4 linked regions of the Arabidopsis thaliana genome follow. The protein of the gene in region 1 interacts with the protein of each later gene in a pairwise test. Each region holds a gene or a part of one and is shown in the gene's direction. Other genes may lie near its edges. The genes, in order: AT5G05120, AT2G19260, AT1G62975 and AT1G58110.

Evidence for each region.
Region 2: the proteins of AT5G05120 (region 1) and AT2G19260 interact in a two-hybrid assay, tested with the Arabidopsis thaliana proteins (one large-scale study listed by BioGRID).
Region 3: the proteins of AT5G05120 (region 1) and AT1G62975 interact in a two-hybrid assay, tested with the Arabidopsis thaliana proteins (one large-scale study listed by BioGRID).
Region 4: the proteins of AT5G05120 (region 1) and AT1G58110 interact in a two-hybrid assay, tested with the Arabidopsis thaliana proteins (one large-scale study listed by BioGRID).

What each region holds. Positions count from the first base shown.
Region 1 is NC_003076.8:1,508,311-1,514,598, forward strand, and holds AT5G05120 (C2H2 and C2HC zinc fingers superfamily protein), read left to right. Parts: upstream 1-2,921; coding exon 2,922-3,527; downstream 3,528-6,288. Other genes in the region: AT5G05110 (Cystatin/monellin family protein), read right to left, coding at 228-455; AT5G05113 (uncharacterized protein), read right to left, coding at 1,423-1,680; AT5G05130 (DNA/RNA helicase protein), read left to right, coding at 3,806-5,347, 5,431-5,722, 5,797-6,288.
Region 2 is NC_003071.7:8,352,833-8,362,541, forward strand, and holds AT2G19260 (RING/FYVE/PHD zinc finger superfamily protein), read left to right. Parts: upstream 1-3,259; 5' UTR 3,260-3,473; exon of another isoform or gene 3,474-3,697; intron 3,698-4,375; 5' UTR 4,376-4,498; coding exon 4,499-6,015; intron 6,016-6,162; coding exon 6,163-6,217; intron 6,218-6,307; coding exon 6,308-6,411; intron 6,412-6,563; coding exon 6,564-6,654; intron 6,655-6,876; coding exon 6,877-6,924; intron 6,925-7,018; coding exon 7,019-7,099; 3' UTR 7,100-7,380; downstream 7,381-9,709. Other genes in the region: AT2G19270 (mitotic checkpoint protein PRCC-carboxy-term protein), read right to left, coding at 7,517-7,681, 8,161-9,075.
Region 3 is NC_003070.9:23,324,839-23,332,486, forward strand, and holds AT1G62975 (basic helix-loop-helix (bHLH) DNA-binding superfamily protein), read left to right. Parts: upstream 1-3,888; 5' UTR 3,889-4,062; coding exon 4,063-4,380; intron 4,381-4,912; coding exon 4,913-5,314; coding exon of another isoform or gene 5,315-5,338; exon of another isoform or gene 5,339-5,624; coding exon 5,625-5,684; 3' UTR 5,685-5,974; downstream 5,975-7,648. Other genes in the region: AT1G62970 (Chaperone DnaJ-domain superfamily protein), read left to right, coding at 1-913; AT1G62978 (uncharacterized protein), read right to left, coding at 6,624-6,770; EXPA18 (expansin A18), read left to right, coding at 6,890-7,034, 7,287-7,602.
Region 4 is NC_003070.9:21,512,727-21,520,906, reverse strand, and holds AT1G58110 (Basic-leucine zipper (bZIP) transcription factor family protein), read left to right. Parts: upstream 1-2,636; 5' UTR 2,637-2,890; exon of another isoform or gene 2,891-3,127; intron 3,128-3,520; 5' UTR 3,521-3,532; coding exon 3,533-4,251; intron 4,252-4,342; coding exon 4,343-4,418; intron 4,419-4,521; coding exon 4,522-4,648; intron 4,649-4,785; coding exon 4,786-4,988; 3' UTR 4,989-5,502; downstream 5,503-8,180. Other genes in the region: TCP8 (TCP family transcription factor), read left to right, coding at 7,022-8,180.

The sequences.
Region 1 (6,288 bases):
TACGCATAAAATCCAAAAGCTATTAGACCACATATAGAGATAAACACCGTGAACAGAGAAATCATAAAATTCATCACTAAATACTAATACAAAATCCTTAATCTCTAATCTTCAGACTATAAATCAAGAACACTCAGACACGCAAATTACTTGAATTTACGCTAAAAGTTTTAGAATCCTAACCCTAATTGCAGAGAATATACAAATTAGGTTGGAGGAAATCAAACCTCTCGTCTGTTGTGCTCTTGAACAGCGAAGAGTGCAATATCATCGATCTCTTTTCCACCGTTCCAATCGTTCTTGGAATCGCTAAATCCACCAAGCTTCATCTTTACGACGTTGTCGTTGTACGTTCCTTTTTCTTCACTGCAGATCACAAACTGGCCAAAACCCGAAAGGAGAACCAAGGAGACGCAAATTAACATCATACACATCGAAGCACGTCTCATATCCATTGTTCTCAGTGAGCTTCTCCGATTCCCAAGTTTCTGATCTAAACGCCGATGAGAATTTTCTTAACAGTCAGAGGGTGGTTTCTTTCGCCGGTTAAAGACTCTTTCCGTTTAAGAGAAGCAAACAAATATTATGGGCCATTAAATATGATTTTTAAGCCCATTTTATGGACTCATCTGAAAGCCCATTTTAAATCAATGTTGTTAATCCTTTGAAAAAAAAATATGCAAAAGATCAGTTTTCTTTTCTCAACCTCAAAGATCAGTTTGGTGCTGCTTCTCAATATGTGTTTGGTACTTATGCTCAGTCTTTGGCATTTGGTCAAATTTGTCTTGGGAAGCAGAAGTGGAGAGGTTGTTCACACAAACATTACTTTGTTTTTTGTATGGTTAATTTGGCTATTATCTAAAATTTTGTTTCTTATATAGAACACAAATCATTACAATATTTTATTTTTGATTGTAGAAATCATATAAAATGTTCAAAAATGTGTTTTTTTAGTAATTTGATATAGAGATTAAATGAATAAAACAATATAGAATGTTTTCTTTGTTCTATACCATTTCATGTTATATGTTCTATGTAAACAAAACCATTTACTCAAAACGATCAAAGACGCACTTTCTTAATTTTCCATAGTACAGTGTCATAAGCTTCGTTTTATTATCGAACTAGGTCATTGCTGCAAGTGACCCTTCAAAAATTGCACTAGGAAGAAGCCTAGGTGACTCAGAAGCGCAAATTGCAAAATGCAAAAGATTGCACTAGAGATTTTACCTCTAATTACAAGAGAGATTTAAAAGGCAAAGAGAAAATCTGAAAGCCGTGGTTAAGTTATTCATTAAGACAATCCATCAAAGAAACCATGAGTTTCAGTTGCGAAAGTGTGTTGGACAGCCTCAGGTACCAGTTGCGATTTACGAAATGTGTTGAAAGTGTGTTATAGTCCCCTTTTTCCTTCTCAGGTAGCTAATAACCAATCAATATCTTTGCTTTTGAAGGAAAGACAGGTCGTCGCACCATCCAATCTACGTGCTTCAGATCTTCTCTGGTGACGGATTCGTGCTCCTTCTCAATCCTCATCAACTTGTTTAACGTGTGCGCTATTCCCTCCGGCTCAGTGAGAGATTGCAGTTTCTCGAACATGCATGATTCTCTTCTTCTCCATCCTCCTATTTTCCACTTTTGTCTTCGCAAGTACATCAACCCTGATCGATGTCGGAGCATACTCCGTTGTACAGACCCTTTTCAAGAGATGGCTACTAGAACCAATGATACGGCGGAAGTTCATCGTCAATCCAAGCTCTCAAAGTTCACTAACCCTAATTATAATACATATAGCTTTCTTCTTATCTCCAATTAATGTGCTATTTATAAAAATGTTTACAAAGTTTATAAACCTTGATTACATAGATGTTCAATATCATAAGTTTAATCCAATCTGTATATTTTAATGCTGAAAAGATAGCTAAGAAACTATATAGATTTTAATTTGGTATGTTAGAGTTGAATATCTTGTTTAAACCTTGACTATACATAGATGTTCATTATCTTAAGTTTAATCCAATCTGTCATACTAAGCCATGTATATCACAAGAAAGTCTGAAAATGTGCTATATGTCATAGTAAAATTATTAAGTTAATGCTTTTTTGATGTGAGAATCAGCATTATAGATTTGATGGTAAAATGCTTCCATCAGTTTCTCTACTCTTATTAAAAGGTAGCCAAATTTAGTTTAATTACTTACTTTTAATATATATTTTCATTATGTTGATATGAAAATAATTTTATTTTTATTACCTCCAAAGTGATGTATATGAAAATAAATAAAATTGCAAGCAATGGAAAACAATAGAAAACTTAAAGGTAAATATTTTATTTAAGAGTTGAGATAATTATGTACTAAAAGTTTACTACATAATGACACTAATTAAATCTTTAATTCTTGTTTTCTAAAGTTGACTACATTAAGATCTACTAATTAACTCTTTAAACTCTTCTAAATAATTTTGTTTTCAACTATATCTCAAATTTAATAGGGCAAAACCAAAATCTCCCTACTCACTTTGGAAATCAGTAATGTTTGGAACTAATTTTGACTAAATATGCTAAATGCAACAAGTATTAATTCAGAAACAAATTTACTACGCAAATTCGGCAAATGTAAAATGTCAAATATATATAGTAATTAAACATGTTATGTGTGAGTTGTCGAAATGATAAACTAGTTTGTTAAGTACTTCAGTTAGTCTTTGTTCTTCATCATGTTTCTCTATAACTAAGTCCCTTTCCATATTTCATCAATATGCATTTATCTTATTCAAACATCATAACATTACAACATATAACTTTCCTTGATATTAAAAGTGCATACAAAGTATTAAATCTTTAAATACCTATCCGGGTGCAATAACATATTCAAGCCATCAAACCTAATTTCTAAAAGCCCGATCCGATCGACAACGAAATGTTGTCCTCGGACTCGAATTACGCTAGTGATATTAGCGACGATGCCTCCGCCACCGGATCGATAGAGAATCCTATATACAAATGCAAGTATTGTCCTAGGAAGTTCGATAAAACACAAGCATTAGGTGGTCATCAAAATGCACACAGAAAGGAGAGAGAGGTCGAAAAACAACAAAAAGCATTTTTGGCGCATTTGAACCGACCAGAACCAGATCTTTACGCGTACTCGTATTCGTATCATCATTCATTTCCTAACCAATACGCACTCCCACCGGGATTTGAACAGCCTCAGTACAAAGTTGATAGATCATACAAGATGTCCATGGTCTACAACCAATATGTGGGATCCTCAAGCTCTAGCTTTGCAGGACTACAAAGTGACCCAAGTCAAGGAATGAACCAGGATTGGACCTTTACCGGGATCCCATTCCTACCCCAATCTCAACCTCAACCACTATCGTCACCAATATGTTTGGATCTTTGCCTTGGCATTGGTAGCTCCCAAACCCAACCACAACCTCAAGAACCAAATGATGCAACAGAAGAGATGGATGCTGAGAAAGAAAATGATGGTTCTTCCCTTTCTCTCTCACTCAAACTGTGAAATTGTAATCTTTCCCTTTTAAGTATTTCTTAAACTTTCATTCCTCACCTTTGTTTTCTTGCATAGTATTATCGGCTTGTGTCAAATCAGTACTTGTGCACTTGAACATTGTAATAAACTTGGTTGTTATTTGCATTTGAATTTCATATAATAATAAAAACTTGATATTGTTCTGACTTTGGGGTGTCAAATTCTATTTATAAGAATTTGAGATGCAAATCTCAATTTTAGTTACTTTATGATACCAATATAAAAAAAAAAACCACTCTTTCGAAAGGATGCGGGTTTTGAAATACTTTCGAGCTCCTTCTTCTCTCCGTCATCGTTCCTCTCCCATGGCTCAGTTTCTTCGACGCTTCTCTTCCTCTCCCATGGCGAACGAAGACGAATTCCAATCTCCGGTGGAACCATCACAGCAGCAATCTCAGGACTGTGTTTCGGAGTCTTATCTGATAGGGTTTGTTATCGCGAACATAGTAGGGTTAAAGTACTATTCCGGCCGAATCAACGGTCGAGAGATGGTGGGTCTGGTTCGAGAACCCTTGAACGTATATGACAATAATGCAATCAGAGTACTCAACACGCGATCTGAGCAAGTGGGTCACATCGAGCGTACAGTAGCAGCCGTTCTCGCGCCGATGATTGATTCTCACACGATCGTCGTCGAGGGTATTGTACCCAATACTCGTTCTAACTCCAATAGGTACAGAATCCCTTGTCAAATTCATGTATTTGCAAAGTTAGAAGCGTCCTCTACTGTGAAATCGACGATTTCTAGAGGTGGGTTAGTATTGATTTCGGAGTCAGATACATCGTTTGGGTTATCTGAGGCTGTTGTGGTTAAGGAACAGATGGGAAATGGAGATAAGAGGAGTGTTGATAAGATTTTTAAACTTGTTGATGAGAATGTGAAGTTAATGGGGAAATTGGTAGCGGCTGAGCCACCTAGGGAAGTGATAAAGTCTGAACTTTTTGCTCATCAGAAGGAAGGATTAGGCTGGTTACTCCATAGAGAGAAATCTGGAGAATTGCCTCCGTTTTGGGAGGAGAAAGATGGAGAATTTTTGAATACTTTGACGAATTACCGCTCGGATAAGCGGCCTGATCCTTTGCGTGGAGGGGTGTTTGCTGATGATATGGGGTTGGGTAAGACCCTTACTTTGCTTTCCCTGATAGCTTTTGATAGATATGGCAATGCATCCACCAGTACGCCAACCGAAGAGCCTTTGGATGGTGAAGGAGACAAGATTGAAAAGAAGGGTAAAAAGAGAGGAAGAGGCAAGAGCAGTGAAAGTGTAACTCGAAAGAAGCTTAAAACTGATGATGTTGTTGGCATGAATGTGTCTCAAAAGACAACGTTGATCGTTTGTCCACCTTCTGTGATTTCAGCATGGATAACACAGTTAGAGGAGCATACTGTACCGGGAATCTTGAAGGTGTATATGTATCATGGTGGCGAAAGGACAGACGATGTTAATGAGCTTATGAAGTATGACATAGTGTTGACTACTTACGGCACTTTAGCTGTTGAGGAATCGTGGGAAGATTCTCCTGTAAAGAAAATGGAGTGGCTGAGAATAATTCTTGATGAGGCACACACCATTAAGAATGCAAATGCTCAACAGAGCCGAGTAGTTTGTAAGTTGAAGGCTTCCCGCAGATGGGCTGTCACAGGAACTCCTATTCAGAATGGTTCATTTGATTTGTACTCTTTGATGGCCTTTCTCCGGTTTGAGCCATTTTCGATTAAGAGTTATTGGCAAAGTTTGATACAACGCCCGCTTGGCCAAGGGAATAAAAAGGGTCTTTCACGTCTGCAGGTAATAATAATACATTACTTACATGTCTGCCTGTTTTTTGTTTTGCTCTTTGGTGAAAAGTTATTTAATGACACGCTTTTCAGGTTTTAATGGCGACAATTTCGTTAAGAAGAACAAAAGAAAAGAGTTTGATTGGTTTACCGCCTAAGACTGTTGAAACTTGTTATGTTGAGCTTTCTCCGGAAGAACGTCAGTTATATGATCACATGGAAGGAGAAGCGAAAGGTGTTGTGCAGAATCTTATAAATAATGGAAGCTTGATGCGCAACTACTCAACAGTTTTGAGTATAATCTTACGGCTTAGACAGCTTTGCGATGACATGTCTCTATGCCCTCCAGAATTAAGATCTTTTACCACTTCTACATCTGTAGAAGGTAATAATAACAAAACCGGTACATATTCTTACTTCTGGTTGCATAGCTTATATCTTTGTGCGTTTGTGAAACAGATGTGACTGATAAGCCAGAGCTACTGCAAAAGCTGGTTGCAGCATTGCAAGATGGCGAAGATTTTGACTGTCCAATCTGCATTTCGCCACCAACAAACATCATCATCACTCGATGTGCCCACATCTTTTGCAGGGCTTGTATCCTTCAAACTCTTCAAAGAAGTAAACCATTGTGCCCTCTTTGCCGTGGCTCCCTTACCCAATCTGATCTCTACAATGCTCCGCCTCCTCCTCCGGATTCTTCCAATACCGATGGAGAAGACGCTAAATCTTCAACCAAATCCTCAAAGGTCTCAGCTTTACTATCCCTGCTCATGGCATCGAGACAAGAAAACCCCAACACAAAGTCTGTTGTGTTCTCTCAATTCAGGAAGATGCTGCTTTTACTAGAAACTCCACTAAAAGCTGCGGGTTTCACCATCTTGCGCTTGGATGGAGCAATGACTGTGAAGAAACGGACCCAAGTCATTGGAGAATTTGGGAATCCAGAGT
Region 2 (9,709 bases), on another chromosome or scaffold:
AAATGGGTATTAATTATTAAAATAATGTTGAGAAAAAAATCCAAAATTAATTAGAGCACAAAAGAGTCATTCCAGGAATGTTGAGAAAAAAGGTATTAAATATCAGTAATATATTATCACTGAAAAATAAATTATCACTTAATTGAAATACCCTATAATCAGATTTTTCTTTGATAATTAATTAATTGACCATCTTTTTCTCTTTTTGCATAATTAAATTGACCATCTGTTAATTGCCTATGGATTTATTTTTATTTTTATTTTTTTGGGAAACAGTTATTTTCTTTTTTCCAAAGTAAAACCAACAAACAAATTTGAAATATGTCTCAAAAATATAGGGAATGGAATGTAATTTTCATTTCATGAACATAAAACAAATTGAATATAGATTGTTAAATAGAGGGGCTCAAATGTAAAAACGTTAAGAGTTGAACAAAAAGTAAAGTTGAAGGTGACGACGAACCCAAACCCCACAGCTTCGTCAGTCGCCGCCGGTGACTCAACCGACCACGCATGATCGGTAAGTAATTTATCGCAGTTCTGTATCAATTTTTCGATTCAGATGCGAAAAGACTTGATGGCTTCTGGCTTTGCATCAATTTTTGCTCTTTATCATATACACTGCTCAACAACAGTTTCAATATGATCTTTGAACAGTTTACATTACTCTGTATATGTAATGTCTGTGTTTCGTTATATTTTTCTAAATTGACTTGACTTCGTGTGTATCACTACTTTTAAAAAGAGGAATTTGACGTGCGTCTCTGTGTCTGTTTCTCTATATGAGTCTGATATAGAGCTACTACAGATGTTTAATACTCAATATAGTTGAAAGAGAAGGAATCAGCTTTAGGAACCCATGCAAGCCACTTTTAGTTGCAATCTACCAACCTGAAGAAGGTGCTATCCAAGAGTAACCGTGTTGCCATTAATTTAAGGTATTGCTGGAGTGTATGAATCGATGATAAAAAATATTGCCTGGCTCTTTTTGATAATTCTCTGTTCTTTCTCTTTTTAAGAGTTTTGAAGATCCCGTAGCAGCAGTTGGAATTGCTAAACAGTTGCAAGAACACTGTAATGAGGTTTTTAGAATGGTAAAAGAGACAAACAGCAATGAACACTGTAATGTTCCTTCTACTTCTGAGACTTTGTACTCTCCTCTTGGATATATTCAAAGGTGAAGCTAGTCTCCATACTGGTTCTGAAATGTTACTCAATGACAATGTGGATTAGCCTTAAGATGACTCTGAGAATGGTGATTATGATCCTGAAGCGAAGGAAGACGGAAATAGCATTAGTGGCTTGGGAAATGCTAGCGATGAAGATGGCAACATAACTTCAACTAGCTTGAGCTGCTCTTCTATAGGATTCGGCAGCCGTGTTTTAGAAGAACTGTCATACGTACACTTGGAAACAGGGTCCCCTTAGGTGAAACCAACAATGAAGAAATTGTATCCATGCCAAGACAATGGAGAGCAGTGGACTATACTATGTGAGTACTTTTTATTTTAATCCCTTTATTTGTTTACGGGAGAAATACAGTGATTTGCTCAAAAAAAAGCAAAGTAGAAGAAACTCCGTTTTTGAGATTCTCCATAGGACAGTAGTTTACGCATAAAAAAGCATGCCAGTGTTGTTTATTGACTAACCAAGTTGGTAGTAGTATCCAATGGTATGAAGATTCATATGATTTGTCCTCCAATTATTTCGCAAGACTGATAATGCAGTGTGCTAAGTTGTTTCACCCTTTCATGCTCACAATATTAACCACCTTCTCGTTATGTAATGATTCCAGTTTAATTTTTTTGCAACACTATTGGTAAACTGTTATAGCTTATGATTTTCTTGTTTATCATTACTCAGAAACGACTGTCTTTTAGATGAGCAGATTTTTGAAGGCGAAGACTGAGGTCTAAGTAACAGATACAAACTTATAACTATGTGCAACGGTATTAGAGAGACCCGGAAGGAGAAACAACCAAAGAGTAGGAAAGACTCTCCGTAGAAGATGAAGGTATAAGTTCTATTTTTCAGACTTCCTAGTGGGGTTATTATGGTCTAACATCTGCTTCCTATTTTCTAATCTCTTCTGTAGTTTATATAAGATATCTGATTGCTGCGTCTAAAATGTTCTAACTGCTGGCATTATGTAGCTGTAAGTTCATCAGATGTTTGCAAAACCATAAGGGGCATTGTTTTCATAAAATTTGGATTTTGAACTAAAGAAGGTATCCGTGAAAAAGTACTTGTTTCCAATTGTTATAGGTATCCAGCATCCACAGTTAGAACGTGTTAGGCTATAACATCCTCATTCATGTCGCTAATAAACATTGGTTTTTCAGTATTGGTTCTTCATAAAATCTATTGTCGGTAATCATATCCTGAATTCCATTGTCAGGTCAGCAAATGGTGCAACAACATCTGACATTGATGAGTAAGAAGGTGGGCTCTAAGATATTTAAATAAGGTCTCTCTCAACAACCTCACTATTATAAGGCACTCTGAAAATTCTGGGGCTATAGCAATCAACGAGGACAAGACTGAGATTAATCAACTTCGAGATTCTGCAAACGAGACTGCTTCACTCAGCAGGCAAGTGTCTCTTTTTCTTCCTTCAACCGCAGATATTTTTCTTGTTTAACTCTTAGATGCAAGCGAAAAACAGAAGTTGAAATTCGTGATAGCGCTGCTCTCATATTTTTCCTGACCATTGCCATTAGTCTCGCACATGCTTTTCGCAACTTCTAAGATGTCACATCTTTGTCATTGTCTGAGTTTTGATGAGCTTAAAGCAACTTCTAGAAGACAAAGAGACAAGAAGAGGACGAGTTTGAAGCACTAATGGAGAAGCTTTGTTTACACCTGAGGCACTAGCCATTGAGTTTTAGGCAAGTCTTCTTGTTTTACTCCCAAGAGGACTCAATAGCAGAGGCTTTTGAGCTTCTAGGAGAAATGTTGTTATGTTGCAGAATCATATGTATAGTTTTGTATTGTTTGATCCTCTTGGAATAAACAAGTCTAAGTCTTGACACATGTAGCTTTGAACTTTCTGCAACAGTGTAACACCTATGTATGTAATATATAATAAAAATGCCAAATATTTTGTGGTTCTTCATTGTGATTTGGTTAACAAATATTGAATCTGTGAATCTTCTCTACTGATACAGTTCAGATTCAGGGATCAGAATGCAAGAAACTAAAAAAAGAGACCCATTTTACACAAGAACAAAAAATCTGAGCGGTTTAATTATAAATTAGATTTTGAAGTTATATATATAAATTTTTCCACAGGAAAATCAAAGAAAGTTGTTTTGCCAGTGAGTTAGAGAGAGAGAGAGCGATAGAGCGAGAGAGAGAGAGAGCTTGCGTCAGTGGAGGAGTCGGAAACTTGAGAAACTTGTTTAGAAGAAACGCCATAACTTGGAGAAGCCCAAACGAGGATTTTGCTCTTGTGTATCTTCGTAGTCCATCTGGTAAATGCGAGATTGTTCTTCTTGTTACGAAATTGTTTGTTTGTGTATCGCTGTTCATTGTATTGTTTGTTGTTTTGTACTGGATTTGGCTGTGCTTTGTGAGGTATATGAAGGTTTCTGCAATTACTGGAATTGGATTTTGGTGTTTAGTCTCCGATGGTTTGATTGTGTTCTAGGGTTTTCATAAGAACGGAAGTCTGTTTTGTTGTGAATTTCTCAGAAAGGTAAAATTTGTTCAGAGATTGTTGAGATTAAGACTTGAATTTTAGCATAGGAAGAGAAATTTATGTCTAGCTTGAATCTAGGTTGAAGGGTGCATGGTGCTTTAAACGACTGAAAGATTAAGATTTCTCAGAGATTGAGACTTGAATTTTAGAATAGGAAGAGAAATTTGCTTACTTCACAAACGTTTTGTGCAACCTGGATTTAAGATGATATAGATATGTAGCTTGAATCTAGGTTGAAGGGCGCATGGGTTTCCAGATTCGAGTCACTTTAGATCCGAATTTTTGTAGTTTTCTAAACTTGGGTGCTGAATTTGGATCTGAATAGCATCCAAGAACATCCTGGATTACTAACTTACTGAGGATTAAAGGTTTTTCTGAATGGAAAGTTTGCATTTTATCACTAGTTAGGAATCCGATTTGTTTTTCTCAGTGAGACTTGGAGATGATGAGAACAGTATGTGTCCGCTTAATGCAGTACCACAAAATTATTCAATCACGAATCAGGAGAGCAACCTTTTGAGCGCCTGATAAGTTACTGGAGTTAGTTTAAAACAATGGGTGAAATTGATCCAAATTAGTGATCAGAAGATAACTTACTGTTTCTTCGTTATGGTACTCATGGACTTGGTTTTCTTGCATTTTGACTCTGTTCCATGTTTTGCTTTCGACATTTAGGTGATCAGAAGGATATGAGCATTACCATTCCAGAGGGACTACATGAAGAAGTCGACCAACAGATTCATTGGTACTTAGAGAAGTAATGTGCTTTCAGATACTTTTTTGGTTTCTCAGGAAAACATGTTGGTGGAAAGTTCGTTCAGCTCTTCTGTTGAAACTAGTCTACTGAACGTATCCGAGTATCAAGACCCATTTGCTGCATATGATTGGACGTCTCTTGCTGAATCTTATCAGATGATCCACAAAGTTCCCGAACAGTCTCAAGTAAGCTTTCTTAAAAATGTTCCAGTCACTGATACTATGAATCTTGATGAATCAAAACATCCAAAACATCAAGAAAGTTGTTCAGAGAAATCTGTTATGCATAAGGTATCGGGAAAGGCTCTGACTTCTCTTGTGTATCGTCGAAGGAAGAGGACCTTAATACCTGGGGGAACTGAGGAACATAACCTAGGAAAAATCAGGAAACAGGATGATTCTCTTGATGACTCTATTGTCTCTTTATATAACCCTGAAGAAAGCACAAAAAGGAAAAATCGCTTCAACAACTGTCTTGTCTATAGCCGGAAAAAAAGGAGAGGGGAATCCAGTTGTACTTTTACTGGAGAAACTACGATAAGGGGTGATGGGCTTGATGATGCTTTTGTTTCTGAGCATGACTGTGGAGAAACCAGGAGAAGAGGCAATCGATCAGATGATTGCCTTGTGTATAGCAGGAAGAAAGGTAGAGTGAAATTTAATAGTTGTAGTTTTAGCAAACATGTCACTGGACGAACCAAGATAAGCTATGATCAAGCTGACTCTTCTGCATGTAGCCAAATGGGACAGATAGTTAAAGCTGATAGTTCTTTAACTAGACCTAAGCCTGGAGAAATCAAGAAAAGTGGTCATCAACTTGTTTACAGCCAAAGAAAGCAGTTAGTGAAATCTAATGGGAGCTTTACTGAAAGTCATGTTGGAAAAACCAAGAGAAATGGAGATAGATCTGAGGTCTTACTTACGTATAGCCGGAGGAAGAAGAGTGGGAAATCTATTGGTGTTCGGGTTAATGGCTTTCTAGTTTATACCCGGAAGAAGTTAAAATTCAGAGGACCTTTTGCTAGACGTGACCTAAGCGAAACCAAGAAAAATGGTGATCAACGTTCTACTGTCAGTTCTCGAGAACTTTTAGACGATACCCAAGTTACCGAAGTGACATGTTCTTCTGATGGAACAAATGACAGCTGCTCCTCATTGAAATCCAGTTCTGAAGTTAATTCAACTTCTAGTAAATCTCGGGAAGATGATTGCTATTCCTCTGATTCTGGGGTGTCTGAGACAGATACAGATGGTAGTAGCAGCCCTTTCAGGCAGTGTAAACATTGTGATAAGCCAGGAACTGTCGAAAAGATGCTAATTTGTGATGAATGTGAAGAAGCATATCATACACGCTGCTGCGGTGTTCAAATGAAAGACGTTGCAGAGATAGATGAGTGGCTCTGTCCATCCTGTTTGAAAAATCAGTCATCAAAGACCAAGACTAAGGGGAGAATTTCACATGAACGGAAATGGAGAGTTACAGTACCATTTGTAATAGGAATTAGAATAGGAAAAATGTTTCAAGCAGATGTTCCAGACTGGTCAGGTCCAACAATGAGGTATGCACTTTGATATTCAACAGTCCTTTGAACTATTGTAATATCAAAGATTTCGGTCAACTGGCAAATAAGTGTTGTTCCTTTCACTAAAATGAATGGCTTTGTTTTATTTGGTTGACATACAAAAGCTTTTTGATCTCAATGCAGTGATACTTCTTTTGTGGGTGAACCATTGGAAATTGGCCAGTCAGAATACATGCATGTAAGCTCTCAGTATAGTGGATAAGCATAAGTTTATGTTGCCATAGAATTAGCTGGATTTCAGATAGCTGCCATCCTTCTCTCTTTGCAGGATCTCAAGAAGGCCAAGAATAGTAAGAAACAATGTTCTGCAGTGAATTGGCTTCAATGCAGAGAAGAAGATACTAATGGAGTTATCTGCGGAAAGTGGCGTAGGTAAGTTAAACAATTTTGCAAGTTCCATTATTTGGTTCATGCTCTCGTCTTGAATGTAACTTACTTTCTATCGCCTTTTCATCAGACTTCTTACCAATTACCAATACCTTCTTCCTTGTCTAAATATGCTTAATTTGACTGGATATACACAGGGCCCCTCGTTCAGAGGTACAAACCAAAGACTGGGAATGCTTCTGCTGCTTCTCTTGGGATCCATCACGTGCTGACTGTGCCGTCCCTCAGGTCAGAAACTCTCTTTACAACTATCTTATTTCCCCCAAAGAAAAATCCTTCCGAGGATGAAAAGTTAGCAGCCGTGAGAGGATGAAAAGCATTGAAAATTATTGAACCGTCTTGCTTCATCTTTCTCCATGAACATGTCATCTGTATTCTTGAACAGATATCTTAATACTCCTAAAAGAGCCATCGAAGTTTATACAATGCATCTTGTGTTCATTTCTGCAGGAACTGGAGACAAGTGAGATCCTTAAACAACTCAAGTACATCAAGATGGTTCGTTATTTTTCTCATTACTTGTTTGATCTTTCCCGACCATATTCCTTTCTGATCAAGGATCTAAAACTGAAACGGTCGGTTTCCTCTGCAGCTTAGACCTCGATCAGACGCCAAAAAGCGAAAACTAGGACCAAAGGGTCGAAGCAGATCACATATCAAAGGAAAATCTTGATGGACACAATCAAAATGCATATGCTTTTGGATTAGAGAGACCTTAGAAACTAGAAAGGTAACATCAGAAATTTTTTGTGAAGCGCCAATGCTTTTTGTACTACTTGAGGATATCAAGTTGCTTTCTAAGTGACTAATTAGGTTCAGATCTTTTGTTAGCTCCCAAAACAGGAGTAGTGAATAGAACGTTTGTGTTAAGGGACAGGTTCTGGGTTAAATGTGAGATTCATCTTGAATGCAACAAAATCTATAATCAGCTTCCGGGTCAAAGCATTCTGCTGAGATTAGATTCATTCACGGAAATGAGTATTACATTCAAAGCTTGGATCTTGGAAAATAGTAAAAGAAAAAAATTACACTCTGAGTTACAGAAAATCTGTTGCAAATTTCACAAATTGAGAAAAACAATAGCGGCAAATCACCATCCGTATTTAGCTTGTGTCTCGGCTTTCGTGAGCAATCCTCTAGAACGTCTCTCTGTCAACTCCGACTCCTTGTGCTTCATGTCCATGAACAACGCAGTGATTTGATGCTTCCTCTTGTGAAGCTTTGACACTTTCCCTTTAGATGAAGATGTTACCGGCTGCAAGACAAATTTGAACAAAGACATCATTTAAAAAGCAATACAAAGCAGTCAAGTATATTTTCAGTGAAGAACACATAATAAAATTGGTATGATAATCAAAGTATCTCTTTTCCTATAAATCCACAAAGAAGTTTATCAGCAAAACAGAAAGAACTTGACAACAGAAGCCCCAAACAAGAGATAATCTTCAACTCATATTCAACTCATATGCTCTCTAATGAAAATCTCCTACCAGCAAAGGGTTTAGATATACAGAACCAGAGAATGAGAATAATAAGAGACATTAGAGACAAGACAACACCCAAGTTATTGCAAATAAATTTCGCAAGAAAAAACTTGACAATGGCAGCCACAAACAGGAGACAAATTCACAACGCTCTATACTCTATAGTGTTACCAGTTCAGGCTTTTCTAAAGACAATTCCTAAGTTCTTGCAGCCAAAAACGAGTAAGAAGAGTTTAGAGAGTAAACAAACCTGATACGCAGGTCCAAAGGCGATTCCAGTAGATTTAACCTGATCAACTCGTGGCCTATTCTTCATAAGCTCATCTTGCTTAACCTCAACAATCTCTGGCATCTGATTCCTCCCTCTCCTTCCTCTCCTCGCACCACTATCCATAGCTACAACCGCTTCAGGCAATCCCGTCATTGCCTCAAACCCACCACCATTCCAAGTATTACCTCCATAGCTACTACCATCATATCCCACACTACTACCACTAGGAATTGTTTCGTATCCACCATCATAACCAGTAGCATAATAGTTATCTACTCCAACGATTTGTTCCGTTTCGCTATTACTATGACTAAACGATTCATAGCTCTGGTTTTGTTGATCACTAATACCTGAATCCGTTTGAGGAAATGCAATTGAAGGTGTTTCTGTTTCGAGATTCGATCTTCGACCTGATCCTGATCCCAATGAAGGAAGAGCACCTAGTGTTTGTGAGCTTTTAGGTGCAGGCATGGCGGATAAGAACGATCTTACTGATGAATCGTGAGATGCGGAAGCAGATTCCATCTGTTTACGCTTCTTCCTAGCTTTCTCTTCTTCTTCGTCGTCTTCGTCGTCAAGATTGCTCGGTCTAGGGTTTACTGGAAGCCTGATCTGGACGACACGTTTCGGAATTGACGACGGATTGGGATTTTTTTTCCGTGAAATTGAGGATTTGGGAGGAGGGAGAGATGAGAGGAAAGAAGAAGATTTTCCTCGAGAGGAAGATGAGCCTAAATCACCATCTTCGGAGGATTTGAGTTCTTTAGGTTGAGGAATAGCTGAGAATAGAGACGAAGCGGAAGGTTCTGAGGATTTTACAGTGAAAGCTTCTCGACGTGGTTGAAGATCTTCTTCTTCGTCCGACGAAGCGTAGCTCGCTACCAGAGAGTCCATTGCAGAGAGAGAGAGAGAGAGAGAGAGAGAGAGGAAGACTTAGCCGTCGCCGAGATATGTCGGAGTATTTGTCTTATTTATATGGGCTTTTTCAGGAGAGATTTAAGACCCATTTAAAAGCCCATTTGGAAGTGATGTGAAAAAAAGGTTTTGCCAAATGGCCCAAATCCCATACTGTAATACATTATGGGTAAAAAATTTCGTTAAGGTATATAACGTATATAGCCTATAAGCATAATAACCCCATAAATACATTATGGGTAAAATCATATTTCTCTCTCTTTCCAATAAGAAATCTTATTGCAATTGGTTTCTAAAAAACCGGTTCGAATCCAGGGAGAAAGAAAACCGGAATCAAAATGATATTTCTCTCTCTTTTTATTGTGGTCAAACCGGAATCACAAATCATAAATAATAATCATAAGAAACGTGAATGGGCCTTAGATTCCGATTCAAGCCCATAAAAGAAGGCCCAGTTTTTGTTATTAGATTAGGACACCGGTTTGATTTCTGGAAGAGAAAAAACCGGAATTTCACATCGTCTCTACCAATCTCTCCATCTCTCTCTCTGCTCGCCGTCGCCGTTATTATTCCGGGCGATCAAAATTAAGACAAGCCATTTTGTAAGTTTTTG
Region 3 (7,648 bases), on another chromosome or scaffold:
ATCATCGACTGCTAGGCCTTTTCCAGCATCTCAGCCACCAGCGGCCTCTAAGTCATTCCCTATCTCTCAGCCACCAACGACCTCTAAGCCATTTGTGTCTCAGCCACCCAATACCTCTAAGCCAATGCCGGTATCTCAGCCACCTACAACCTCTAAGCCGTTGCCAGTGTCTCAGCCACCACCGACATTTCAATCAACCTGTCCCTCTCAGCCACCTGCAGCCTCTAGTTCTCTCTCTCCACTGCCTCCAGTCTTCAATTCAACTCAATCATTCCAGTCACCTCCTGTTTCTACTACTCCCTCTGCAGTTCCAGAAGCCTCGACTATTCCTTCTCCACCTGCCCCTGCGCCAGTGGCTCAGCCAACTCACGTTTTTAACCAAACCCCACCTCCAGAACAGACTCCCAAGAGCGGGGCTGCAAGAACCGATTCTGAGCCGGAGGTTTCGAGTTTCTGGACTACTTGTCCATACTGCTACGTGCTTTACGAGTATCCCATCATTTACGAGGAAAGCGTGCTTAAATGCCAAACTAAGAGCTGCAGGAGAGCTTACCAGGCAGTGAAAGTTCCTTCTCCACCGCCAGTTGCCGAAGAAGATAGTTACTATTGCTGTTGGGGTTTCTATCCAATAGGATTCTCAGAAGTGGTGACTAAAATCCCAGTCACTGGTTTACATACTAAAATCCCAGTGAGTGATTTACCCAAATCAGCACCCAAAAAACCATCTCCAAAGGTATACTATTATGACGACGAAGAAGAAGATGATGATTCATACATTGGTTCTGATCCTAGTGAGGACGACGACGATGATGACTGGCTGATGAATGGTACAAAAAGGAGGAAGAATGTGAAGCAGAGTAAAGCTAAAGCAACAACCAAACCAAAACGTCAAAAAGTAATTGAGGTTGATTGAGTAAAATCAGTCGGGTAGGGAACAGAAAAAGAACAACTTCAGTAAGGCTCTCTCTGTTCTTCATTTCTGGCTCTGTTGTTGTATTTTTAGTTGTAGTAGTTTCTGTTTATGTAGTGTAGGCGTGTAGGTGTAGCGTAATGTTGCTTGCTTCCGCGGTTTCCATGTTCTGCTTAGGCTGGGTCTGATCGGTCTAAGCTATTCGGGTTAAGTTTAGAAGTAGTGGCTGTAACTTGTAATGTTTTGGTGCCTCTTTTTGGATTAATGTAGTTTCTGGAAAAACTTGCAGAAGAATCGTTTTGATCTGGGATTTGTTCTCTTACTGCTAGAACCAACGAAAAGTGAATAATCCATAAACATGTTGGACTTAACTGGTCCAGTTGATCCACGGCCCAATATTACAATCCAACAAAGTATAGTTTAGTTATGGCTTTTTTGAGATGTAGTGGAACACTGAAACAACAAAAGGTGAGATTGGAGTTTTGACTTGGATTTAGTTTGGTTCAGAAATTATTAATCGGTTCAGAGTTGCCGGTTTAGATCTGAACCAGAATTGAATTTATCAAATTAAAACCATCTTAATGATCGCATATTATTATCATTCATGAATTCGTCATCACCTACAAATCTGTGATTCTGTAGTTGCATGAAGATCAATATGGACAATGGACACTAACAAAATAGATCTTTAATTTATCATATTAAAACAATGTTAATGATCATAAAACCATATCACTAATTCGTCATCACTGATCACATACAAATCTATGATTCTGTAGGTGCATGAAGATCAAAATGGACATGCAAATAAGGGACCCCATTTACCAAAATGTCAGACCTAATCCTGACCACATTTAATATATTAATTACTTCACTAACAATTATTGCAAACCATTCAATGGTTTTTTGAGTGTCCACGTTATCATCTGCAATTACACTCCTTAATTATTGCGCGTCATTACTATTAATTAAATACAAGAATCTTACTTAATCTCCTTTTCACTATACTAATAAACCTTTACAAAAGATTTGTGTTTTCTCTTTAGTCTAAGTTTAACTTCAAATTCAACTAAGCTGTCACATAATTTGTATCTGCCGACTTAAACTTGATGGCTCGTTTTATTTGTAATGAAAATATATTAAAAAAAAAACATGTGCCATAATAAGTCGATAACCTCAAAACTAAGAATTATTTAAAGTTTTTGAAATAAAAATCAGTCAGTCATAATATTAATTTCACAAATAATGAGTTAATAAAGTTTATTTGATTAAATTATTTATGGTAATTAACTACACCTTATCATGTATACAATAAATACATGTCAATCTTCTTATATTCAATTAAATGTGGAAAATAAAATCAAGAAACCTTGACATAACTACTCAAAATAAATGATGAAGAGATGACATTAACAATTGGTAGCAACAACAATATACTAATAATTGACACAAATCAATAATCTTCGGTCTTCGTTCAAAAACAGTAAATGTTTGGTCCAAGAGAAGAAATACAGTTTGGTCCATCAATGCTGCACGAGCTAAGCAAATATTCAGCTAAGATCCGAAATCTGAACTCTAGCTGTGTTAAGTACTCTTTGTTTTAAAATATACTTCCTACGTTCTAAATTAAGTGTCATTTTACATATATACTAAATTTTGTTTTAAAATAAATGTTGTTTTATATTTGTAATGCCGACTTTTGATCAAAGTTACAACTGAATCTATTGATTTAGTGAATTGACGGTTATTTTTTGTATATTGATAAAAAGTAAAAAAAAAATGTTTCTTCTCTCCGTTTTAATTAATTTATCATTTTACCACTTAAATTTTGTCTCGTTGTCATTTTAGATCTTTAAGGCAAATGTTTGGTAAAAATTCCAGTTTTTTCCTCAAAGTTTTGATATCTTGACCAATTAAAACATTTAGAGAATATATTGAGTAAAAATAAAATAAAATTTAATTATTTTCTTAATTGATGTGCAAAAACCTTAAAAGACAAATACTTTAAAGCAGAGGAAGTATTTGTTTTCTTAATATTCTATGTATTATATCAAAACCTTATATGGCACTTATTAATAAATGGTGAGAGTATGGTGTTTTAGATAAAACACACACACTTTAAGAAATTTATCTTTTCTTTAACAACTATCATTTAATACTTGATTAAAGAAAATTCAATTAATTATATAAAAGACTGCAAAATACAAATATCCATTAAAAACAAATATATTTACAGTTAACATAGAAATCTGTAAAACATCATATATATAATGAAAAACAGAATCTCTAAAGTATCATATTATACTATAATAAAACAGATGGAGTATTTTTTGACCAGAAAAAAAAACTTTAAATTTTGTATATATCTTATATATGTAATTGAATACTGCTTGGAAATTCAAGTGAAGAGTCAATAACCAAAATAAAATCCATTTCAACATTTTGTGGAGAAATTTTTTACAACAGTAAGAAGGGAAATGACTTGATTAGTATATATAAATGATATGAGATAATCTTGTTATTAACCTTTGAGTTGGAACCATGAAACTTAACATAGTATTAGATTCTGAACAACATATGTTGTCTTGTTTCCGGTCGAAAAAATTGCCGACCATCCTACTAATTGATGGTCCAATAGAATTTTCAATTCCGTTGAGATAGATAGGATAGTATTATCAAAAATTTCATAAGAATTTGTAACATATCCATTTGTATGAATGTTTAAGTGTAAACATCTGTATATATTTTTATATGAAACCCATGGATTAAGAATTATTGTGAAGCTGAAATTTATTGGAGTTGAAAACTTAGGTGGTGTGTAATGAAGGTGAGATGTATATGTTCAAGCACATTTAAAACATACGTTCCCATTCTTATTTGACGTGATTATTAAATGGCCACTAAATGAACAGCGCAAAGTTTAATTTAATAGTATTATTACTATCATCTTTAATTTAATCCCAACTACTCATATTTTGTGGAGATTTTAGTTTCTTCGAGATCGATCACTAACCTATCATCACATCTGTCCAATTAAAGAGGAGAAGAAACAAATCTTGGAGGCAAGTATAAAGAGCCTCACAAGCCAGAAAGTCACAACACTACAAGAAAAATCAAACCAAATTAAAAGTACTCATAGATATCAAATTCCAATGGATTGTGTTCCTTCATTGTTTATGCCTGATTCAACCTACGAAGATGGATTACTATTTTCTGATTCTTTTCTTCTTTCTCCGTTTATATCATACCAAAACAATGATGTTTTCCATTCGATCACAAACAAAATTGGTGGAAGCAATAAGAAACGAAGTTTGTGTGATATAACATATGGTGCGAATGAAGCCAACAAAAATGATGATGATCGAGAGAGCAAGAAGATGAAACATAGAGACATTGAAAGGCAAAGAAGACAAGAAGTTTCATCTCTTTTCAAAAGACTAAGAACTCTCTTGCCATTTCAATATATCCAGGTAAGTTATCTAGTGGGAGATATTTCATTATGATTAGCTTGAGAAATATTTTATATTTTTATCTCTATATATAGTCCTTAATTACATACTAATTTACAAAACCATTTCATTTGTTAAAGTGCAAGCGAGCAGTTTTCTTTCCATTGAAAAGGAAAGTATATAGAGAACCTTAGTTTTGAAAGCTTTTACTAACTATTCGATCATTCATGCTTTCGTATATACTTTTAAAACAATTTTTTTACATAATTAAATCTTTCGTATATATATTGTGGTACCACTTTATACATAGAATTAGAAACTCTTACACATTCGTATTAATATCTAAAATATATAAATTGAAATTTTGACAAATAGTTTTTTTTTTCAACGTAGTGTAATACTCGAATTTTGGATACCACATCAAGGAAACATCTTCTTAAACTGATGAGTTCATTCTTTTTTCTTAACACTAGTTAATATATCCAAGTACATTCTTGAATCAAATAATTGCTAGTTAGTTGTTCTAAGCATGACCATATCATTTAACATACAGGGTAAACGCTCGACATCAGATCACATCGTGCAGGCAGTGAACTACATCAAAGACTTACAAATCAAAATCAAAGAACTCAACGAAAAGAGAAATCGGGTAAAAAAAGTCATATCGGCCACAACTACTACTCATTCAGCTATAGAGGAATGCACCAGTAGTTTATCATCATCAGCAGCATCAACACTATCATCAAGCTGCTCATGTGTAGGAGACAAACACATTACTGTTGTGGTCACACCTTGTTTAGTTGGTGTTGAGATCATCATAAGTTGTTGTCTCGGACGAAACAAGTCTTGTCTCTCGAGTGTTCTTCAAATGTTAGCTCAAGAACAAAGGTTCAGTGTAGTTAGTTGCCTCTCAGCTAGACGGCAACAGAGATTCATGCACACCATTGTTTCGCAGGTAAAATTGTTACTAAAAATATAAAGAGAAAAGGTTACAAGAATTTACAAACTTTTGGGTCTATCATAGTTGCTAATATCAGTTTTTAGTTCACATACCATTTTATTTGCTAATTTCTATACAAATTATAATCTGTTTGTAAACTACTTTTGTGGTTATCAAAAATACAATGAATATACTTACCTGAAATTAGAATTAGATAAATAAATTACTAATTTTCTAAAAAAAAGTTTTAGTGTTTGATCTTTTCTTGCCTTAATTTTCTAAAAACAAAATTGACACTAATCATCATTTCATTTCAAATTTTCAGGTGGAGGATGGCAAACAGATCAATATTTTGGAGCTTAAGGATAAAATAATGACTATGTAGCCCCATGTACAAGAAGAAAATTAGTTACTATGACAAATGAAAATATTACGTGGTTTGAAATTGGAATTTTACTGAATTTCAATGTATGCATTATTTGAGTTGTTAGATACTAAGATCATGCTATTTTAGTGTATCGGCTTACTTCTGAGTGCTTAGATTAATGTTACAAACTAATGCTTGTTTTTCATTTTTTTTTTTGTAAAATAAAGTTTGTTTTTCTTGGCATTCTAATTATGATATACTTCATTTTAATTACTATTATTAAATAGAAAATATATGATCGTTACAAGGGTGTATATATAGAATCTCTAAAATATGGATAAAACATCTCCAAACATATGCAAGTCCAATCTTAGTAAAAAGCTTAGGAAAAGTGGTAATTACAAGAAACATGAGAGATTCTTGACTGGCTAGTTGGAGATATGGAAATGATAATCAATTAGTCATTTGCTCAATAATTTCTTTGGGATTAAAATACCCTATTGGACAACAATTTTTCCATTAACATTCCTTTAAAAATCGGTCACAAGTGATTTTTTTGATAGATATAAAAATTGGGACCTTGCTAAACTTGTAACAAAATCATATCTTAACATGTTAGGTACGTTCATTTTTGAAATTTGAATGAATAATTAAAAAAATATAATTTGTAGCTTTCTTTAGATATCATCATATTCTTCAATAGATTTATAAGTTTTAGGAGAATGTCGACATTATCCTAGTTCGAAAATTGGTTGTGGAGAATAGTCTAATTGGTCTTTGGTCCGAATACGATACGTGGTGTCAAAACATATTCCCTCTCATAATATAACAAAAGAAAAGAAGCAATCTCATTATTCTGCCAGTGATTAATAAATGAAGTGATATGTTATCAACTAGACACCTTTTGTTATAAATTTGACCAAAACAAAAAAAATGAAAGAAAAATATATGAAGACATTAGAAAGTAAAACTAACTAATAAAATAATTAGAATGCGAAGGGAGGCACAGACCAAAACAAACATGAACGCACGTCCATTACTTACTTGTTCATACTCTTCTTTCATAGTGTTTCTCACGTTGAAACCAATTTTTTCGCCTTTCATTTCAGGGAAATTTTTTTAAGCCATTGTATTCATTATATATATGAGATCTTATGCATTAGTAAGACTTGGCTTTACAGAGAGATAATAAGAGTAGGCGCCCTCAAGAAAACAGAGTAAAAATGGATCAAAATTTGTATCGCAAGTGCCTGGTTATTTTATCGATGATGGCAATGATCGGCACATCAATGGCTACATATGCCGGGACCCCATGGCGTACAGCCTCAGCCACTTTTTACGGTGACGACACCGGCAGCGCAACTATGGGTAAAGTCCATATACTTCTACATTGTATTGTATGTAGAAGTAGAACACAAACTATATATGACTCGATTCCATATTATTTGAAACGATTGTTTGTTTGCATTTCTATGTTTTAATGTACTAATCATATATCATAACATAAAAATGCAAACAAGATGAAACAATTATGGCTTATTTATAAATACATGAATCTTTAATTTCGAAGATCATTAAAATGTACTGACAATTTTTAACATGACCATGTATATCGATCAGGTGGGGCTTGTGGCTATGGTAACATGTATGACAGCGGCTACGGGGTAGCCACGACTGCGCTGAGCACAGCCCTGTTCAACGAGGGTTATGCATGCGGTCAATGTTTCCAGTTAAAGTGTGTGTCGTCGCCTAACTGCTACTACGGGTCACCAGCCACCGTGGTAACTGCAACCAACATATGTCCACCAAATTATGGCCAAGCATCCAACAATGGTGGATGGTGTAATCCGCCACGAGTCCATTTTGATTTGACTAAACCAGCTTTTATGAAGATCGCTAACTGGAAGGCTGGTATCATCCCCGTCTCATATCGCAGGTAATATTCACATTTCATTAGAGCATTACAATTATAGAGGTAGATT
Region 4 (8,180 bases), on another chromosome or scaffold:
AGTTGAAAGTTAAAGAAATAGGAAAAAGAGAAGAGAAGAGAAGAGAATAGAGAGCTAAAAGAGAATCAAAAGGAAGTAAGAAGAAGAGAAAGAAGAAAGAAAAAGCTAGCGAGAGAAGAGGCGAGCCTAGCGAGTGCAGAACCTTGCGGCTGTATGATTCCCACCGGTGAGAGAAACGCGGCTACTCTTCAAATTAGACCAAAGAGACATCAACTGCCTCATCCTCTGAATCTCCATTGTGGTTATCAGCTATGACCTCTTTCTTGCTCTCAATCTGCTATTTCATCATTAACGCGCACACACAAAGATATATGTTTTTGTTTTTAATATATGTATGGTAATCAAATGGATCCTCAGATGTTGCTTCCCATTCTTTGGGAAGAGATAAACTCAAGGAAGCAACATATGGGAATGAAAAAGAGAGAGAGAGCAGAAAGAGGTTTTGTTGAATTGATTTTTTGTGGGTTTGATTTCTTGAGGCTTAAGTTTTCTTTGTTTCTCGCAATACATGAGAGAGAGTTAGATTGAAAATATAAAGGGCTTTGCTGTTTTGTTTGAGCCTTTGTTTACGCCATGCCTCTCTCTATTTTAAGATATTTTCCTCTTAATTCATGGGGGATTTTAACTTCTTTTACAAGTAACCTCACCATTATCCTTTATTAGGGTATGTCCACATCAGTGCTAACTCATTTCAGTTCTTAATTGTTTTGACTCTGTTTTTGTGTTGATGAAACAAGAAACTCGTTGCACATTTAGTTAAATCATTTCCTGTAATCATGCTGCCACAATAATATCATAGCTTTGACATAGATCATCTCTAACCGATGATATATCTCTTGTCTACATCTTCCTTAAGCAAATTTGATTATAAATCATGACTTTATCATCGGAAACTCATATAAGGCATGAGTTGATCTTTCTAATACAACAAAATACCAAAGTATTCTTCATCCATTATGATATATAAGCACCACATCCATCAATTAGGCTCCATAAACTTTATATACTAGCTTAGAAGTATCCTACCGACGATAGTCCACAAAATTTTGCTTCTTCGACATACCATAAGCTTATTAATCCACAAATCTGTGACTGTAAGGGTTAATATTTATTAGCCATTGTTTTTTTTTTTGCTAAAGATTTATTAGCCATTGTTGTTGCCCATTTAATTAGTGCTCACATGTAACGATTCATATTTTAACCATAGATGCAAAAGCTTAACACATAAATTTTCGTGGCTAAATTATGTTTTTTTATGAACTGACCTAAAACCCCGAATTACTTGACACGTTTTATATTATTTTTTACGGATAAGGGAAATATTTGTTTTTCTTGTTTATTCATACTAATCTATCACCTTTTCTCAACATGCAATAGTTTTTCTTATAGTGATGGTCTATTTCTCGTCCCACTTAACTTATATAATACATGCAAGCTTCATGAATATGTATAGTTATATATGCAAGGGGCTAAGAATAGTATTAGAACAAATATTGGTCAAGTCTATGATATAGATGTGATTATTATTTATACAAAGTAGATAAACAAGTAGTAATATAAATTATGAAGTGGTTAATGATTAGTTAACACAGTGATTAACAATGGATACTAAACATTCATAAGGTTGTGGAAAGATTGGGGCCGCCACAGACTGGATTGGGAACCAGAGAATTGGATTTAAATAAAAGTTTTATGAGAGACATGTTGGAGAAAAATAGAAATTTGAGATTTCATTTTTGTTTTTGTCATTTTGTGAACTTATAAATATAAAAAAAATGTAATAAAATGACAAGTTGGCCCATGTTGTTGCACTTTAAGTTAGGTAACAGATCAATTCCAACTCACCAATCATTATATAAATAAATGAAATTAATAAATAAATGGCCCATATGCTAAAAACATGATCTTCGACAAAAGATCCTCTTTCATTTTGTGTAGTGTTTATGACGTGTAAATTGTAACTAGATTAATGTCTTTGTCTATCTATGTTCTTTTCTATATTATAACCTTTTTCATAGATAAAACTTTTCATCACGAAAACTTTATAATATGATAAATAATATGAAAAGCAAAACAAATTATGCCATTGCTTGACAAGACAATTCAGCTGCTCTATAGTGCATGTTAATTCTACATATCCACAAAAGATAATATTAATGGTGGGATAATTAAATATCACCTGAAACAAAATTTAAAAGAAAGAACAAGATTTCAAATTCTAGAAAAAACTAAGAAATATATGGAATTACATTCTACAAAAATTAAATAAAAGCAAAACGGAAGACAAAAATTATATACATGATTTCTAACAAAATAATTTATCAAAAGAAATCTTTCGTTCCGAGATAATCAAAATCAACCACGTCGAACAAAAACGAGTCTGTTAACAACTAACAAAATTTCTAATATCGAAACTATAGTACCTCCTAAATAATTTAATCCTACATTTCAATTCCGCCAAAAAAACTCCATAATTATTGAGACAATTACTAAGAAAGCAAATTTTGCAATAAACTAAAAGAAAAAGAAATAGAACTTTTCTACTTTGTCCCAATTCAAATTAGTAGTATTTGAACTTTGAATCAAAAATCCGCGGAAATTAAACATCGGGGTCAAATTATAAAATATTGTAAAGTATTTGAGACTATTTTTAAATACTAAAAGTAAGAAAAACAAAAGGTCTTAAGACAAAAGAGAAGGCTTTTATTTTACTTTTAAGGACTTAAATTCCCCCAAATTTCTCTCTATCACCCTTCTCTTAGTCAATAGAGATTCTTCTTCTCCTTCAACGATAAGACAGAGAAGATCTCCGGTGGAAGAAACAAGCCGGAGTTCTCATTTTCAGCTTCTGTTTTCTGAAATTTCTCCGATTTGGATCTGTCTCCAACTGGTTAGTTTGTTCTTCTTCTTTAAGTTGGAAAGTAGAATCAATTATCAAAACTTGTAATCAGGAAGACGAATCTGTATCTGTCTATCTGATTCTCATAGTTTCTAAAAAAGGAAACTTTCTGATTTTACTTGCCTTTTATAGATTCTTGATATTACAATTTTACTACTTGATGTGTTCACTGTTTGGTTGCTGGAAAATGTGGGAAGATGAAAAAAGCTTATTGATTAACTTGGATGAGTAAGAAAAACTTTGATTAGCTGAAATGAAAAAATGGTTATTTCTTGTAATCGCTTTTATGTGTTTATGTTAATATTAATAAGAAAGCAACTGAATTTGGATGACCTGTTCTGGTCTGGTTGTCTGAATTGGTCAGCTATAGTGTTCTGCTTCAGTGTCAGCTTTATAAAACATTTTAGGCTCTATAGATTTGTTGCATTGATCTGTGTTTGATGTTTTGTTACCAACTTTTTCCTTACTTTATTAGCTTAATTAGGTTTTGGATTGCTTGTTTTGTTCTAAATCTGCTACTGAGTTCTTAGGAGTTAGGCCAAGCTTAAAAAGATTTGATTTTGTGGGTTTTGATGCAATGGTTTAAATAGTCAGATCTATCTTTTACTGTTGTTTTGTCAGGCAAGGGTGACAATGGCTAGCTCCAAGGGATCACAGAGTGTTAGAAACTTGATGTACCCGGGAAAGCATGCTTTGCTCCCACCAAAAATACCGTTTCCTAGTGTATCAGCATCGTATTCCGAGTATATTCCTACTGGTTTGATTGGTTCAAGACATGGTCAGAAGCTTAGTAATGAGAAAACACATCACCAGCGAACTTCCTCCGAGAGCCATTTGGTAGAAGAGCTTCCCTTTTGGCTTGATGATCTTCTCAATGAGCAGCCGGAAAGCCCTGCTCGAAAATGTGGTCATCGGCGTTCATCAAGTGACTCTTACGCTTATCTAGATGTGGCTAATGCTACAAACATAAGTTTGACTCTCCAAAATGATTTCAGTTATAGGAATACTGTTTTATCCACTCAAAGAGGAGTCCAAGAGCTTGACCGGAATAAAAATGCTCAGGATGCTGCCTTCTACTCTGGTGCTAGTTTTCTGAAACAGAAGAGTCGTCAGCGGGATTCTTTGGTGGCAACTGGGGCTTGTCCTTCTTGGTTACCTTTCGCTCGTGAGAACGGTGGCGGAAAAAACTTGGGAGCTTTATATATGTCTCAAGATGCAACAGTAATATCGTCAGAAAGAAAGAACTATGCTGAACCTTTTTCTCATGACCCAAAGATGTTATCTTCTGAGGAAAACAACTCCAATCCTTCGCCTGTGACTTATGAAGCTGACAACACAAAACGAGCCAAACAGTTTGTGATCTCTTTACTCGTTCTTGATTGATGTACCTATTCAAAGCAATATAGAATGATCAGTACTCATTTAGTTTGCTGCTCCCTGCAGGCAATTTGCACAAAGATCACGGGTCCGTAAGCTCCAGTACATATCTGAGCTAGAAAGAAATGTACAGACATTGCAGGTAAGGCTCAAAAAAACTTGCATTCAAAGAGAGAGTAAGTGAAAGATGTAGTAGATTACAATTTGTGCAGCACTGAAGTATGGATTTTATTTTGTGACTATAGGCAGAAGGCTCCAAAGTTTCAGCTGAACTTGATTTTCTCAACCAGAGGAATCTTATTCTGAGTATGGAAAATAAAGCTCTCAAGAAGCGTCTCGAAAGTATAGCTCAGGAGAAGCTTATCAAACAATGTAAGTTTCTCGCAGTTTCTTTTAGGTTCTTAAGGTTCAAACTATAGTCTAGAGTATGAGTTTGTAAGTATTAGCTAGTTATCAAGATTCAACAGTTCTTAAGATTGTATACCTCATGAGTTCTGTCTATTATCCAGTGGAACAAGAAGTGTTGGAAAAGGAGATTGGGAGACTACGAGCGTTGTATCAGCAACAACAACAAACTCAAAAACCATCAGCCAGTCGCGGACGTGCTACTAGCAAAGATCTCGACTCTCAGTTCTCCAGTCTTTCACTGAACACCAAAGATTCCAACTGTAGGCGTGACTCTGTATCTGTGATGGGTCAATTCCACTTTTAGTAAATGTCTCTCTACCCACTGGTTCATTAGAGATCTTAAGGGCCTGGCGACTCAACAAGATCAGACCCTTATCTACCGCCTCACCACAGACGTTTTTAACTCCCCCGTCGTTTCTTTTTTTTTCTTTTCTTATGGTTGACAAGTTAACTCACCAGTGCACCTGGAAATCCTATATTACTTCCAGGAGATGGCTTGCCTGAGGTGGTTTAGTTCGAAGATCAGACACCTGGACTTCATTTATCTGGTGATTGTTGTAGCGACTTGTGTAATATATGGGACGAATATATTCGAACCCGGACTCATCTCTGGAGTTGTACTATGATACCCACTGTTGTATTTTATGTTACTTGTAAAATGGTGCATTCCCTTCGAGTGAATGCTTCATGTAAAGTTGTTGCCATTTTCTGTAGTACTATCCCCAAGCGTCAAAATATTTGATTGCCTCAGATCTGCACTTAATTTATATGCACATTTACAGCTATTTCATTGCTCTTTGTCAAGCCTCTTGAAGGGCCTATATCAACTCAATTGTTATCAGAAAGTAAACTGGTTAGCATTGTTGTCGTTTGGTTTTAGAGGAAACTGAAACGGCTACATTAGAAATGTTTTTGGTAGGCGTGGGCAAAATACCCGAACCCGAAGAACCGAACCGAACCTGACCCTAAAAACCCGATCTGAATTCAAACCCAAAATTTTAAAATACCTAATCAGATCCTAAACTACAAAACCCGAATCCGATCAAGTTTCTGAACATATCTGAAATATATATACATAAAAATAATTTATTAGTAATAATCATATTTACAACAACTATTAAGTGCATAAAATATTAGATTTTGTATATATTTTGGATATTTTACCTACTTTTCGATAGATTCGGATAGAAAATACTCAAGTTTTTTGGAATTTTTTTTGTGTATTTTCAAGTAATTTAAATATATTTTGATACAAAATTTTGAGTTTTGGATATTCCGGATGAACTCGAATCCAAACCAAAAAAACCCGATCTGAATCTGAAATCTTAAAATAACTGAACCGTAAACCCAAAAAGACCCAAATACCCCAACGCCTTACCATATTAAATTAGGAGGAAACCCGTTCATAAATAATTTTTCGGGTTTGGGCCACAACAGACCGGCCCATTTCAACCGGTTCATAAATTCTAAATACTAGAAAATTCCAAATTAGATAAGTTTTTGTCCATCCTTTCTTTGGGATTCTTGACGAGTAACGTTTGATGTCTTTCTTAATTTGGTTGAATGATCAAATTTGTGATCCAAATTCTTACAAACTGATATGTTAATGAATCTATAACCAAAATAACGTCTAAAACAAAAAGCTGTAACGATTTGAAAGTGCATTTTTTCCCAAAACTATATAACTAATTAAAGAATTTAGTGTCATTTATCTAATGGATATACTTTTAACAAAATCTTATAAAACTAAAAATATTTAAGACAAAAGTGAAATGGAGATACGGAGGTGGATTGTAATGAGCTGTCCCCACCTGCAAAAATACGCACGCTTCACTGTCTGAAAGATGCTTATCTCTCTCTTTCTAACTTTCTTAATCCACAAATCTTTTTTAAACCTTTTTTTATTGGTGCTCTAAAATTGGTAAACAATAATGTTGTGATGAAAATAATGTAATTGAAAAATAACATAACTCATATTTGGGTAGAATTTTGATAAAAAAGACTTAAAATAATTGTGAAAAGTTATTTTTCTCCCCTAATTACTTTTTGATTTATATAATAACTAATCAAAAATCAATAAACGTTTTATTTAATGTTAATGACGGCATATATATTATTTATTTTAATAATAATATCCTCTTGCTGGAAAAGTCATCCACCTGCTTTTACATCATCAAACCTTTTTTTCTCTCATCTCTCTCTCTCTCTTCTCGAGACAAAGAAGAAGACAAGAGTCAAACTTGAAGGCGACAATCGGAGCTTCCATGGCCGTTTCTTCCTCTTTCACCAAACCCTAATTTCAATTTCATCTTCTTTTCCCTTCTTTCTCACCGGAAAATGGATCTCTCCGACATCCGAAACAACAACAACGACACCGCCGCCGTCGCCACCGGAGGAGGAGCAAGACAGCTAGTTGACGCATCTCTCTCAATCGTTCCCAGATCTACACCTCCCGAAGACTCAACACTCGCAACAACCTCATCTACGGCAACGGCGACTACAACGAAGCGGTCGACTAAAGACCGTCACACGAAAGTCGACGGAAGAGGACGTCGGATTCGTATGCCGGCGCTATGTGCAGCTAGAGTTTTTCAGTTAACGAGAGAGTTAGGTCATAAATCCGATGGTGAAACTATTGAATGGCTTCTTCAACAAGCTGAGCCAGCTATTGTTGCTGCTACAGGTACAGGAACTATTCCGGCGAACTTCTCTACTTTAAGTGTTTCGTTACGAAGTAGTGGATCGACTCTCTCTGCTCCGCCGTCGAAATCGGTGCCGCTTTACGGTGCTCTTGGATTGACTCATCATCAGTATGATGAACAAGGAGGCGGCGGTGTGTTTGCTGCTCATACGTCGCCGCTTTTAGGGTTTCATCATCAGCTTCAACACCACCAGAACCAGAATCAGAATCAAGATCCGGTGGAAACTATTCCTGAAGGTGAGAATTTCTCTAGGAAACGGTATAGATCGGTTGATTTGTCTAAAGAAAACGATGATCGGAAACAGAACGAGAATAAATCTTTGAAAGAAAGTGAAACGTCGGGTCCTACGGCGGCGCCGATGTGGGCGGTTGCGCCGCCGAGTAGGTCTGGTGCTGGGAACACTTTTTGGATGCTTCCGGTACCGACAACGGCCGGTAATCAAATGGAGAGTAGTAGCAACAATAACACCGCCGCAGGCCACCGTGCTCCTCCTATGTGGCCATTTGTGAACTCTGCTGGAGGAGGAGCGGGAGGTGGAGGCGGAGCAGCGACTCACTTTATGGCGGGAACGGGGTTTAGTTTTCCGATGGATCAGTACAGAGGAAGTCCACTTCAGTTAGGTTCTTTTTTAGCTCAGCCGCAGCCGACTCAGAACTTAGGACTAAGTATGCCGGACTCGAATCTCGGGATGTTAGCCGCTTTGAACTCGGCTTATTCAAGAGGCGGAAACGCAAACGCGAATGCGGAACAAGCGAACAATGCGGTGGAGCATCAAGAGAAGCAGCAACAGAGTG